Linked DNA regions of Danio rerio. The protein of the gene in region 1 interacts with the protein of each later gene in a pairwise test. Links are inferred from orthologs where the notes say so. Each region holds a gene or a part of one and is shown on either strand. Other genes may lie near its edges.

Region 1 (3,658 bases):
ATTTTCTAATATCTTATTTAGGTTTATACTGCACTTGAAAATGTAATGCTTAAAAATTTAAATATGAAATATGCTTAAAGTCCCAAAGAAATCAAAACCAACCATATGATTTTGTTAGCTCACATTGGCAGTTTTGTGGTGAACAATTCATCTGTGCATGACATTAAGAAAATAAAAATAGTTTGCCCTTCTAATCTTTAATTGAAATCTGAAACTACATTTTTTTTCAGTTAAATTGTCAGATTAGATATATATTAGGTATTGAGCGTGGCTAATATATTAAACCACACATCTCCAGCTCTCAGTTTTGACAACAAACTAAAATGGTGATCATCACAACACAAAAAAAAAAACACAGTTTGCAGCTTCTGGTTCATTGGGACTTTAAAAATAGCCTTTTAACCTCTGTTGGGATAACTTTTTAACATGAAAACAAAAATAACATGAAAACTGACATTTAGATATCATGTTGCATACAAGAACTATTTTATTTGCAAACAAGCAATACATTTATACAAAACAACCTCACTGCACACACGCTGCATGAACAGATTTCTCGCAGGTCTCATTCCGTCTCATCATTAATAGTGTGCTCATCTTCTTTATGAAAGACTGGCAGCAGATCTCCCCAGTCGCTGTTACGAGCACATCTGTACATGTCCCTGTTAAAATAGACAATACAAATTCCTTAAGCCAACTACCAGAATGAACTGCACCTGCATAACCTGTTAGAATCAATACAAGTCAAGGTCATTCACTGAAAATCTAAATAGCAGAGATCTATTATAGGAAAGCGTCCCATACTTTCCATGACGACGGGCCGTCACAGCCAGTTGTTTGAGTTCTCCATTTACGCAGCACAGCTGGCACTGAACGTGTCTGGGTCGGCGATGGACTTGTGCGATCACTCTAGCCATGTCCCAATGTTCAGCCTTCTGAGCCTTCTCTCCATCTGAACGGGATACAATCAGGTAACTAAACCTCTCCTGCTGCCTTTCCTGGCTCTGTGACAGTTGATTCATATAAAGGGATAAAGAAAAGAGGAATGTTATAAAGGCCTAGTTCTCCCAAAAATGTGTATTGATCTTTATGTGACACGAAAAATGTGTCCCATTCTCTCATGAATGCATTTACGTGGAACCTGGTTATGTTTAATAAGATATCAGTGTATCGCCAGGAGCCATAGGTATCGATGTAGTTTGGCCTATATACATTTTTTAATGTTTTGAAGTGAGATTTGGGACATTTGAAACCACATTGCTGGAAAAAGAGCTAGAGCCACTCTTAGACACATGTCAGTTTGCCTATAGGCAGAACAGGAGCACTGAGGATGCCGCTCTTAGCATTATTGTTCATCTTGTGTCCAAGCATCTTGAAAATACTAAAGCTTATGCTCATATTTTATTTGTTGATTTTAGTTCAGCATTTAATACAGTGCAGACACATCTGCTTTTAGAGAAGTCGCATTACATGGCTGTCAGTACTTTCTGAATTATATTGTTTAATTCTTTTTAAAGTAACAGTGCTCAGCAGGTCTGGGTCAATGGGATACTTTCTGAGGTTAGATATAGAAATACAGGAGTGCCACAAGGTTGTGTTTCATCGCCTGTCCTTTTTGCTTTGTACACAAATGATTGCAGAAGCACACATTTTATTATTTATATTATGAAATATGCTGATGATACTGCCATCCTAAGTCTTTTACACAAAGACATGGACCTTTCATACTACCACAGTGAAATCGCTAATTTCGTTCAGTGATGTGACAAGAACTGTCTTGTGTTAAATGTAAAAAAGACACAAGAAATGGTCCTTGACCAATGAAGTGTATCTGAACTTAGGCCTGTGATCATTAAAGACACAGTGATACAGCAAGTTACATCTTACAGATATCTGAGGTTCTATATGGACAGTGTTTTTTTGTTGGAGAACACACACTGACAGCTTGTGCACACAACTACAACAGAGGCTTTATTTTTTAAGAATGCTGATTGTATGGGGTAGGTAGCAATATCTTGTTTATTTTTTACCGAGCTATGTTTGAAAGTCTTATTTGCAATGGAATCACAGTCTGGTTTGGAAATCTTTCTGTTCGATTTAAAAATGAATTGGGTTATATTTAAAAAGCAGCCATGAAAATGATAGGAATGCAACAATATGAGCCCATACAGACTCTATATGATCAGGCGGTCATGAGAAGAGCAATAAATATTAGTGCTGATTCCAAACATCCTCTTTTCAGTGAATATCAGCTGCTATCTTCAGGAAAAAGACTGAGAATGCCAATGCGTAAAACCAATAGATTAACGCTTTCGTTTGTTCCTACCTCGATAAAACTCTACCAAGAACAGAGCACCTGTAGTACGTTAACTGTGTTCTGTGCTTTATATATTATATATTTATATATGGTCTTATTTTGTAAACAATGTATGTTCTTAATTGTTTTTGCTTAATTCTTTTGTTTGTTTTATTTTGTTGTCTGCTTAGAGCAACGTTGTAGCACCTTTTTCCTTTTTTTTGTTTAAACTCGATCCTATCCTATCCTACTTATTTTTTCATAAACTATCATCGTAAAGTGATAGTTCCCCCAAAAATTGTCATCATTTACTCATCTTTTACTTGCTCCAAAACTGTTTGATTAACCAGTGACTTGCATAGTGTTTGTTTCAATGATCAAATGATTCATTGAGTCAATGATTAAAGGCTTTCAGCGCTCTTCAAAATATCGTCATTTGTGTTCAACAGAAGAAAGAAACTCATTTATAACCATTTGAGGGGGAGTAAATGTTAAGTAAACTTTCATTTTTGGGTGAACTATCTCTTTAACTACTGTCTAAATACCTCAAATATGTCCATGCCATGATAACAACTGAACTGAAATTCAGTCATTCGAGGTGATTGTCACAATTCAGAAACTAAATTTGTGGACTTACCCGTGATAGAGGCAGAGAGTAGTAGAACTGGAAGAAGTTACAAGGTACCACAGGTTGCCTGATTAACTTAGGACACTTCAGCTCGTGCGTGCACTGTCCAAATTGAAACCATACAGATGACAATGTCAGCATAAAACATTTTAATATATCTTATTAAAGATGAAAAAATAAGAATAAACTTCAGAAATAAGTTATTTTGATGTTTTAACGCACAGGAGCAAATATAGATGGTCTCCTCGGGTCATGCAGTATCTCATCTTCTCTCTACAATAGAAAAATCAGACACGTTTAGGTACTTCTGAAGGATGCATAGGTTGTATTACTACTATTCAAATGGAAAGTCATGTTTTAACAACAAAAAAATATCAGTTTAACCTTTAGTATAGCATCTCTGGCCTCCATAAGGATTTGATGACCTTCCTTGGTTCCATTCTCCACCAACACCTGTACAAAATACCAAGAACTGCATTAAGAATGATAACAATTACAATAGTTTACACATCATTTAAGTAGAAAAGGGTTTTCCCCCCAGATTTCAATAAACAAATTATTTTAAATAGGTATTTTGCCATAGTATTTTTTTTAATACTAGTAAGCCATAGTAACTGCATATTAACCAAGGGATTGCTTTATGAACCATAGATTAGCCAAAGTATTTGCAATACAACTGTCGTTATAATAATGGGAATGAATTTGTCAGAAAAACAAAACTTTTCCTACAATAA
Region 2 (3,758 bases), on another chromosome or scaffold:
TACATTTACAAAAATTACATTATGTAATTATGCATCAACTATTTTTTAATTTATTGTTTGTGTGTACACAAACACACACACACACACACACACACACACACACACACACACACACACACACACACACACACACACCTTCATTTAGACAATAACGAAAATATAATTGTCAGATTTATTGACAATTATATTTATCAATACAATAAAAACAGTAATATTATAACAAAATAATGTGACTTTCACTTTTGTATTACAGTAATATAGTAACAAGAACTAAAGGAAATATTGATTTGTCATAATCTAAAATGTTATAAATCATTCTGTAAAACATTCTATTTTGGTGACAAAAATAAGATATTTGTATACAAGTAGTAAATACACACACACACACATATACTGATATTTGAATTTTTTTTTCTTAAAAAAACTATATTTATTACAAATAATTATAAAATTATTTCGAATTTATTTAACTTTTAAAACATATTTGGCCTCTAAGCAACACTAAAGGCATGTTACACTAATAATGAAAGCTAGACTCACTTTAACTGGCTGTTGGACTGAATGAGCTCTTGAATTAAACCTTGTCTCCTTTCAGAATCCGATAGCATCGTCTTCAACATCAAGCGGACATCAGAGGCAGACTTTCGCTCCAACAAAACCAACTCTACAAACACAAAACAAGTATCACCATTAGTTCTTTTTTTCAGTTATTGTCAATGACTAATATCTAAACTACTATAATTCTTATTGTATACTTGAAAGATATAATATTTGCGAACAGTTAAAAAAATAAAATAAATATAAAAAATAAACGCAAAAATTAGGACTAAAATCATATTAGAAATGTGTTAATAAATTTAATCCCATAATTTAACTTCAAACTTTAATAATCCAATAATTACATTTTTTTCATAGTTGCAGCAACAAATTATTAAAATGAGATAACCTGCAAGGTTCTTGTTTTCCTTTGGATCTGCAAAGCTGACAGGTTTAAACCCGTGATGCTGCAGCAACCTGTTTACAGCGTCCCATTCTCTCTGTTCTTCCTGCAAAAGCATGACATATGCAGCGTGCATTAACAACAATAATAAACTAATGCATGGAGAAACAACTGTAAAACTATCAGAATCTCCACTTTTGTGCTACCTGAAACTGGCTGTAGGTCCACAAAAACACATATGTTTTGTCCCTGGATTGCAAAGCTTGTCTATCCATGCTCGTCAGTGAAAATCACAAATGAATGATGAGCTATTGCACTATTTTAAGCATCTACTTGTATCTTCTACTTTTTGTCTGACTTGATCAGGGTCTGTCCACCCACAGCAGATGGAGGGAACAGACCCAGATCAGATTACTATCCCAAAGAACAATAAGAAACACCTCCACACGCTGGAAAGACAAAAGGGCTCACCTGCTCCATCCCGATCAGAAGCCCTGTAAGAGAAAACACATAGATGCTGAGTTTGCACTTTATTGAAATTGCACTTTACCATTTTAAAAGGACACTATATACTGTATAAATCCAATTTAACAATGTTTATATACTGTCCAACCTATATCATAACTGTCCTAATTTAAACTGTAATGTAGTAATATATTATAACTGAAACAATAATTATTGTGAAAAGCGATACACAGATAAACTTGAATTGAACCGAATTAATGTTTTTTTTTTTTTTTTTTTTTTTCCACTTTCGCCAATTGGTGCAGTTTTTTTTCCTCGCCGCTGACGCCACTAGCTTGCATGGTTTGGGATCTGTAGACCTGCGCATCGATGGATTGCTCTTCAGTGTTTGGACTAAGTAGTGATTATTAAAACACTGATCTGAGCTAAACTGAACTGAACTTAAACTTTGAAAACTGAAATACACCATTTCAATTTGCTATGATCTTTTATGTGAAGCTGTTTTGACACAATCCACATTGTAAAAGTGCTATTCAAATAAAGGTCACTTGAATTGAACTTAATAAAATGACATGTCATTGGCAGATTTTTATTTTTAAATGGAGATTTTTGTAAAACAGAAATAAAAAATGCATTTGAAGTGAACTGAAATTTGCTAGCAAGAATACTTTAGTTAGGTAGCATACTATTTATGTAATGTTTGTGACTTCCGAGCAAGGTATTGCGTGCTTATACCATCAAATACCTTTTTTGGTAGGAGTTTTGTATGTTGTTTAAGATTTTACAATAAGAAAAACTATGTGAATATATCTACTTTGACGATTCATCTGTAATTGAATGTAACACTTGCTATTTTGTGAGGTTTACGTGCATTTTCTGAATGAAAACATAAAACAGGGCAACGTTGTAAAACATACGTACACAATCTTTGTTTACTGTATAACTCTATAGATCTACGTCGACGTTTCATGTTTAATATAACTTGCTATTTTGCGAGATTTACACGCATTTTCTGAGTGAAAACATGGGCTAAGTTGTAAAACGTGTACACAATCTTTGGCTTATAACTCGATCTATAACTCACAATACTACCATGTTCACCAAGATAAAAACCCTAGTATAACATTCTTAGAAGTTAATATAATTTTAGGGGCCACAAAGTTAGCGAAACATTAATAAAAGGGGCTAAAACGTGACAGCACACGGTAGATACAACATACAAACACTGAAAACGCTACATGAAAAATAAGGTCTACAAACGCGGCTAATACATTTCGTTTACGTTAAGTGTTTTGAGCAGTATTATTCTAAATCATACCTTAAACCACAGACGAGCTAAATTGTAGCAATTAAATCTTCAATTTATCGTTTTATAAACAAGAAAACTCGAGTGTGTTTATTGATTCAAATAACAGCGGAAACTGACACCGACGAAGTGCTTCCTGGATTTAGACCAATGGGAGAACTGAATGAGCTAGCCACGCCTACAACGTAGTTTGCGCCACTGTACTGACGTTTCCCTCTTAAGAAAAAGTGGTGTTACAACAAATGTCCACCAGATGGATGCAAAGAATTAACTTTTGAATATGGGCTCCCTACCAGACTCTTATTATGTAAATACATTGTAAAATATTTATTATGAACAGTTGGCATTTTTAGTGCAACTAAATGTAATTACATATTAAAATGTACATAACTGGCAAACAAGACTTCAGCAGATATGTTCCACAATCTTTCAAAACATCCTTTCAGGTTAGTCATTTTGAACAGACAGCATTTACTAAGCCTCTAATCTCACTTCACAGATACTGCTCTTCAAAATTTACGGATTCTGTGGCATTTTGTGTTGCTCTTTTTGCTGCATGCTGTGTAAAGGGCAGCTCTCCGTATGAAGGTCAGCATGCAAATCTCAGCACCGTCTGCAAATAGAGAAAGAGAGAGAGAGACAGAACTTTTGGGAATCTTTTTGTTTAAACAGTTTGTGTCTGTAAAGCCAGTTTTCCTCACCCAGGTTTCCAGAAGCTGTATATGAGCAAATGGTGAGAAAACATCAACAGAACTTCCAAGCAGGTTTTATCACCAATATAGGTAAATATATAATTACTATTATATTATATAGGAAAATTACTGGACCAATGTTTCAATATGTTGCGTGTCAGTCTTGAAAATAAAAATAGGTGCTGGAAAAAGTGCTTAAAAGTCCTTGATTTTCATTAAGCGCCTGTATGAACCCTGTCATATGTACTTGCAACATATATTTCATAAGTGTATGAATGTGACAATGACATATAGCCTATATTTATGAGGTCCAAGCAACAATTTCCATGTTTTGATGAATAGGCTACTATGTTAA
Region 3 (3,758 bases), on another chromosome or scaffold:
AAGACCTTGATCAGGTGTGTTTGATTAAGGTTGAAGCTAAAATCTGCAGGACACCAGACCTCCAGGAACATGTTTAGTGATCCCTGTTCTAGGCTGATATGTCTAGGAACTATAATCCTATCCTTCTGATTCTATGTATTCATATTATAGCGATATTAATGTTTGATGATAGTAGAGAGTTTTTAAAAGTCCACTTAAAATACCACCACCATGTTATATAAAACTGTTTATTCTTGCTAATTCCGAAAAGGTACATTGACCAAAATTAAGAAATCTGTGTACAAAGAAGCAAGAGATCCATCTAATAGAGCGCAGACTGTAAAATAAAAACGAGACAAAGTTTGGTCTTCACATGGGGGTTTAGGAAGGTGCCGGTGCTCTCATCGGACCTCTGGGTGCAGGAGGACGAGGCGGCATGGGAGGCCCTCTCTGAAAACCAAAGGGTGGGGGTCTGGGTGGTCCCGCACCATAACCTGGAGGCGGCATTGGTGGAGGAGGACCCCTCATACCCGGATGCATTGGTGGACCTGTTAAAAGTAGATGAAGATTTGTATAAATCATTGCATAAATAAAAACACACACACATACACGTTTTATATATATATATATATATATATATATATATATATATATATATATATATATATATATATATATATAAACCATCATTATATTGTGATAATGATCATATAAAATACTGATATATTCATAATACTATGATTTATAATTTATAATTTAATATTATTTCATGATTTCAATACATACTAACACAACAAGTCAGTCTCCTTCACACACACACACATACATACCCATTGGGGGTCCAAAGGGTCCTCTGGGAGGGACACCCATGGGTGGAGGAGGCATTTGTGGTGGAGGCGGTGCTCTTGGTTGGTTAGATCCTGGTGGGCCAGGTGGGGGAGGCACCATTCCTGGAGGTCCCGTTGGAGGCATCGGCATATGCGGCATTCCTGGCGGATGCATTCCAGCAGGAGGGAAGGGCGGGTGTCCCGGTGGGGGTCCTCCACCGCCCTGTGGCGCAGGAGTACCTGGTGCTGGAGGCATGGGCATACCGGGAGGCATCCCAGGTGGCATTGTGCCAGGAGGAGGAACAGGTGGGAAAGCACCGGGAGGAGGCATTCCTGCAAGATTAACATGCAAAGAGTTGATGCAGAAAAAAAATAACAGTATGGTAACTTGAATCACCAGAAAAACATTTCTATTTTCTTTTAGGCTATAAAGTTTTACAGACTTATGACATTATTTTACACCTAATCCTAGGTTAGAATTATGACTAGAGACTTTAAATTAAAATAACTGATGTTTTCTACTACTGTATTGACATTCTAAATTGCGGAAGTGCGCCTGTTTTCGCGATTGTCTTAGAACTTCCATTTCAGTCGCCTATGGGAGAAATGACTAGGAATAATAAACGGCAGAAAATGGTCAAACTACTTGCTCTACAAACAAATGTTTGCATGACTATACAGACCAAGTAGAATAATATAACAGAGAAATATCAGTTTGCAACATCAAACAGCGAAACGAGCAGTTTTTAATGTCTAAAAATGAATGTAAGTGAATGAGACCGGAAGTCTCGTGCCAAAAAGATTCAAATGGCAGCGCCTGCTCGTCGGCTAAGAATAAGGTCAATACCTGTTTGTGTTTTATTTCATCAAAATGTGACGGGGGTATTTTTTTTAAGAGTTTTTGTAGAAAACATTAAATATTTATGTAAAATAAAAAATATAAATATTAAATATTGAAGTGAAATGACACATTTTAATACACCTCAAGTTAAATAGAAAGGATTTGATATTTAACTTGTTTTAAATAACCATGACCCATTTCATAAAACAAATCTTATTTTATTAGGGCTTTTATTAAGGTACATTTATGACTTTATGACCAAGTAAAGATTTATTTTTTAAAAGAACACATTGTGTCAAAATACTGGTCACGTGACTGAAAAGTGACAAGTTTGCACCCATGTTTTATGATTTTTATCTGCTCTGATTTAAGAAACTGTAAAAGGGTGAATGACTTTTAAAGACCTGCAGAAATTCTCTCAGTGATAATTAAAATGCCAGCATTTATTGATCAGGGTTTCCTCTCTTTCATGAAATGTGCATTATTTGTCATCGTTTTTGTACAAGATGTAAATGTAATATTTTTATATAAAGAATTTTCCATTTTAGTTCTGTTTTTGTCAGCAGGACAGTACAATTGCTACAATAACACCTTAAACTAACTTCATTTCAAATTTAAATCAAGCACTATTAAGGACCTGATTTGTTTTTGAGTACTCTACAAGCCTTAAATCCGTATGTCTAAAATCGAAGTACTTTCAAAAAGTGTAGGAACCCTGGCTGATGTCTTTGAACGTGAAAGTAAAGTTTAAACCTCTTTAACCAAATTAAAGAAAGGTTTTTTATAACGTAGGGATGTGCAATGGACCCTTTTCACAAGAACTGTTATGGCGCGTTTAACGATCATCAGCATCTTAAATTAAAGCTGTATATCATTTCAGCATAGATATCGCAATGTGCTCATATACAATAGTCAAATTGCAGGACCCTCAATGTACAGTCTGGATAATAAATTATGACTTATGTGTGTTTTTGAGGCCTGTGACTGAGGGTATTAAATATATTCAGACCTGAGAAACTGTACTGTTTCTAACTTTCTTTTTTATAGGATTATTTATAAAACAAAGACACACAGTATTTAACATTTGATTATTCAACTACTACTTAAATACCGTTAGACTCATCAGAAAACCATTCAATTTTATTTACATCTTATAGTATTGATCTTTGCTTGTAGATTACTAGTTGTATTTTAACAAAATATCACAACGTTACTGTAACAGAGGCCAGCTAGCTAAGTGCTAAGCAGGTAAACCTCTCCCTCCTCTGTCTTCTAAAGGTGCTCTAGTGAAAGACGCTAGAGGCCATGGTCTTTAGACTTCCTGTTGAAGCAACCAATTCCCATACTAAGAATCACCGTTTCGATCCCAGCTCAGACCAGGTCGGGTGCAGTAGAACTGGTGGATTACACTTGGGGGCTCGTCCAGGATGAGACTGAGGCTTAGGGGGGTGAGTGTAACAGAGGCCAGCTAGCGAAGTACTAAGCAGGTAAACCTCACTTCTCTAACCTCAAAAGGTGCTCTAACGACAAACGCTAGAGGCCATGGTCTTTAGCCTCCTTGTTAGAGCAATCGACTCCCATACAACAAATTGCCAGTCACAGCTCAGACCGGGTTGGGTGCAGAGGAACCGGTGGGTTACACTTGAGGGCTCGTCTGGAATGGGAGTGAGCAGTGAGGTTTAGGAGGGTGAGTGTAACGGAGGCCAGATAGCAAAGGGCTACGCAGGTAAACGTCACTCCTCTGACCTCAAAAGGTATTCTAGACACAGAAGCTAGAGGCCATGGTCTTTAGCCTCCCTGGTAGAGCAACCGGCTTCCATTACAAAGAATCGCCAGTTTGATCCCAGCTCAGAATGGAATAGGTGCAGTAGGAACTGTGGGTTACATTACATTTTTCCAATATCATACAGCCCTATCTTAAATCTTTTTATATATTTTTAATAGATTATTTAAAAACTATTAACATTTTTATGTATTTATGTATGTGCTACATCATCTTTGCATTAAATTACCACCTATGTGTGGCATTTGAAATGCAGCGTCTATAGGGCAGGACAGTAAATTTGATGTTGTTCTATTTTCTGTCTGTCGTTATCAGTCTCACATTATTT

The links.
Region 2: the proteins of mettl17 (region 1) and cep70 interact in binary tests that used the Homo sapiens proteins (3 or more experiments, as listed by UniProt). The link is inferred for Danio rerio from reciprocal best matches to the Homo sapiens genes METTL17 and CEP70.
Region 3: the proteins of mettl17 (region 1) and sf3b4 interact in binary tests that used the Homo sapiens proteins (3 or more experiments, as listed by UniProt). The link is inferred for Danio rerio from reciprocal best matches to the Homo sapiens genes METTL17 and SF3B4.

What each region holds. Positions count from the first base shown.
Region 1 is NC_133177.1:40,850,660-40,854,317, forward strand, and holds the end of mettl17 (ribosome assembly protein METTL17, mitochondrial), read right to left. Parts: intron 3,378-3,658; coding exon 3,309-3,377; intron 3,198-3,308; coding exon 3,147-3,197; intron 3,027-3,146; coding exon 2,934-3,026; intron 1,005-2,933; coding exon 805-1,004; intron 663-804; coding exon 566-662; 3' UTR 465-565; downstream 1-464. UniProt on the Homo sapiens protein: Mitochondrial ribosome (mitoribosome) assembly factor. Binds at the interface of the head and body domains of the mitochondrial small ribosomal subunit (mt-SSU), occluding the mRNA channel and preventing compaction of the head domain towards the body.
Region 2 is NC_133197.1:12,315,335-12,319,092, forward strand, and holds the start of cep70 (centrosomal protein of 70 kDa), read right to left. Parts: upstream 2,829-3,758; 5' UTR 2,724-2,828; intron 1,435-2,723; 5' UTR 1,421-1,434; coding exon of another isoform or gene 1,412-1,420; 5' UTR 1,216-1,411; coding exon 1,147-1,215; intron 1,047-1,146; coding exon 947-1,046; intron 665-946; coding exon 541-664; intron 1-540.
Region 3 is NC_133194.1:8,483,134-8,486,891, reverse strand, and holds the end of sf3b4 (splicing factor 3B subunit 4), read right to left. Parts: intron 1,140-3,758; coding exon 810-1,139; intron 528-809; coding exon 361-527; 3' UTR 214-360; downstream 1-213. UniProt on the Homo sapiens protein: Component of the 17S U2 SnRNP complex of the spliceosome, a large ribonucleoprotein complex that removes introns from transcribed pre-mRNAs.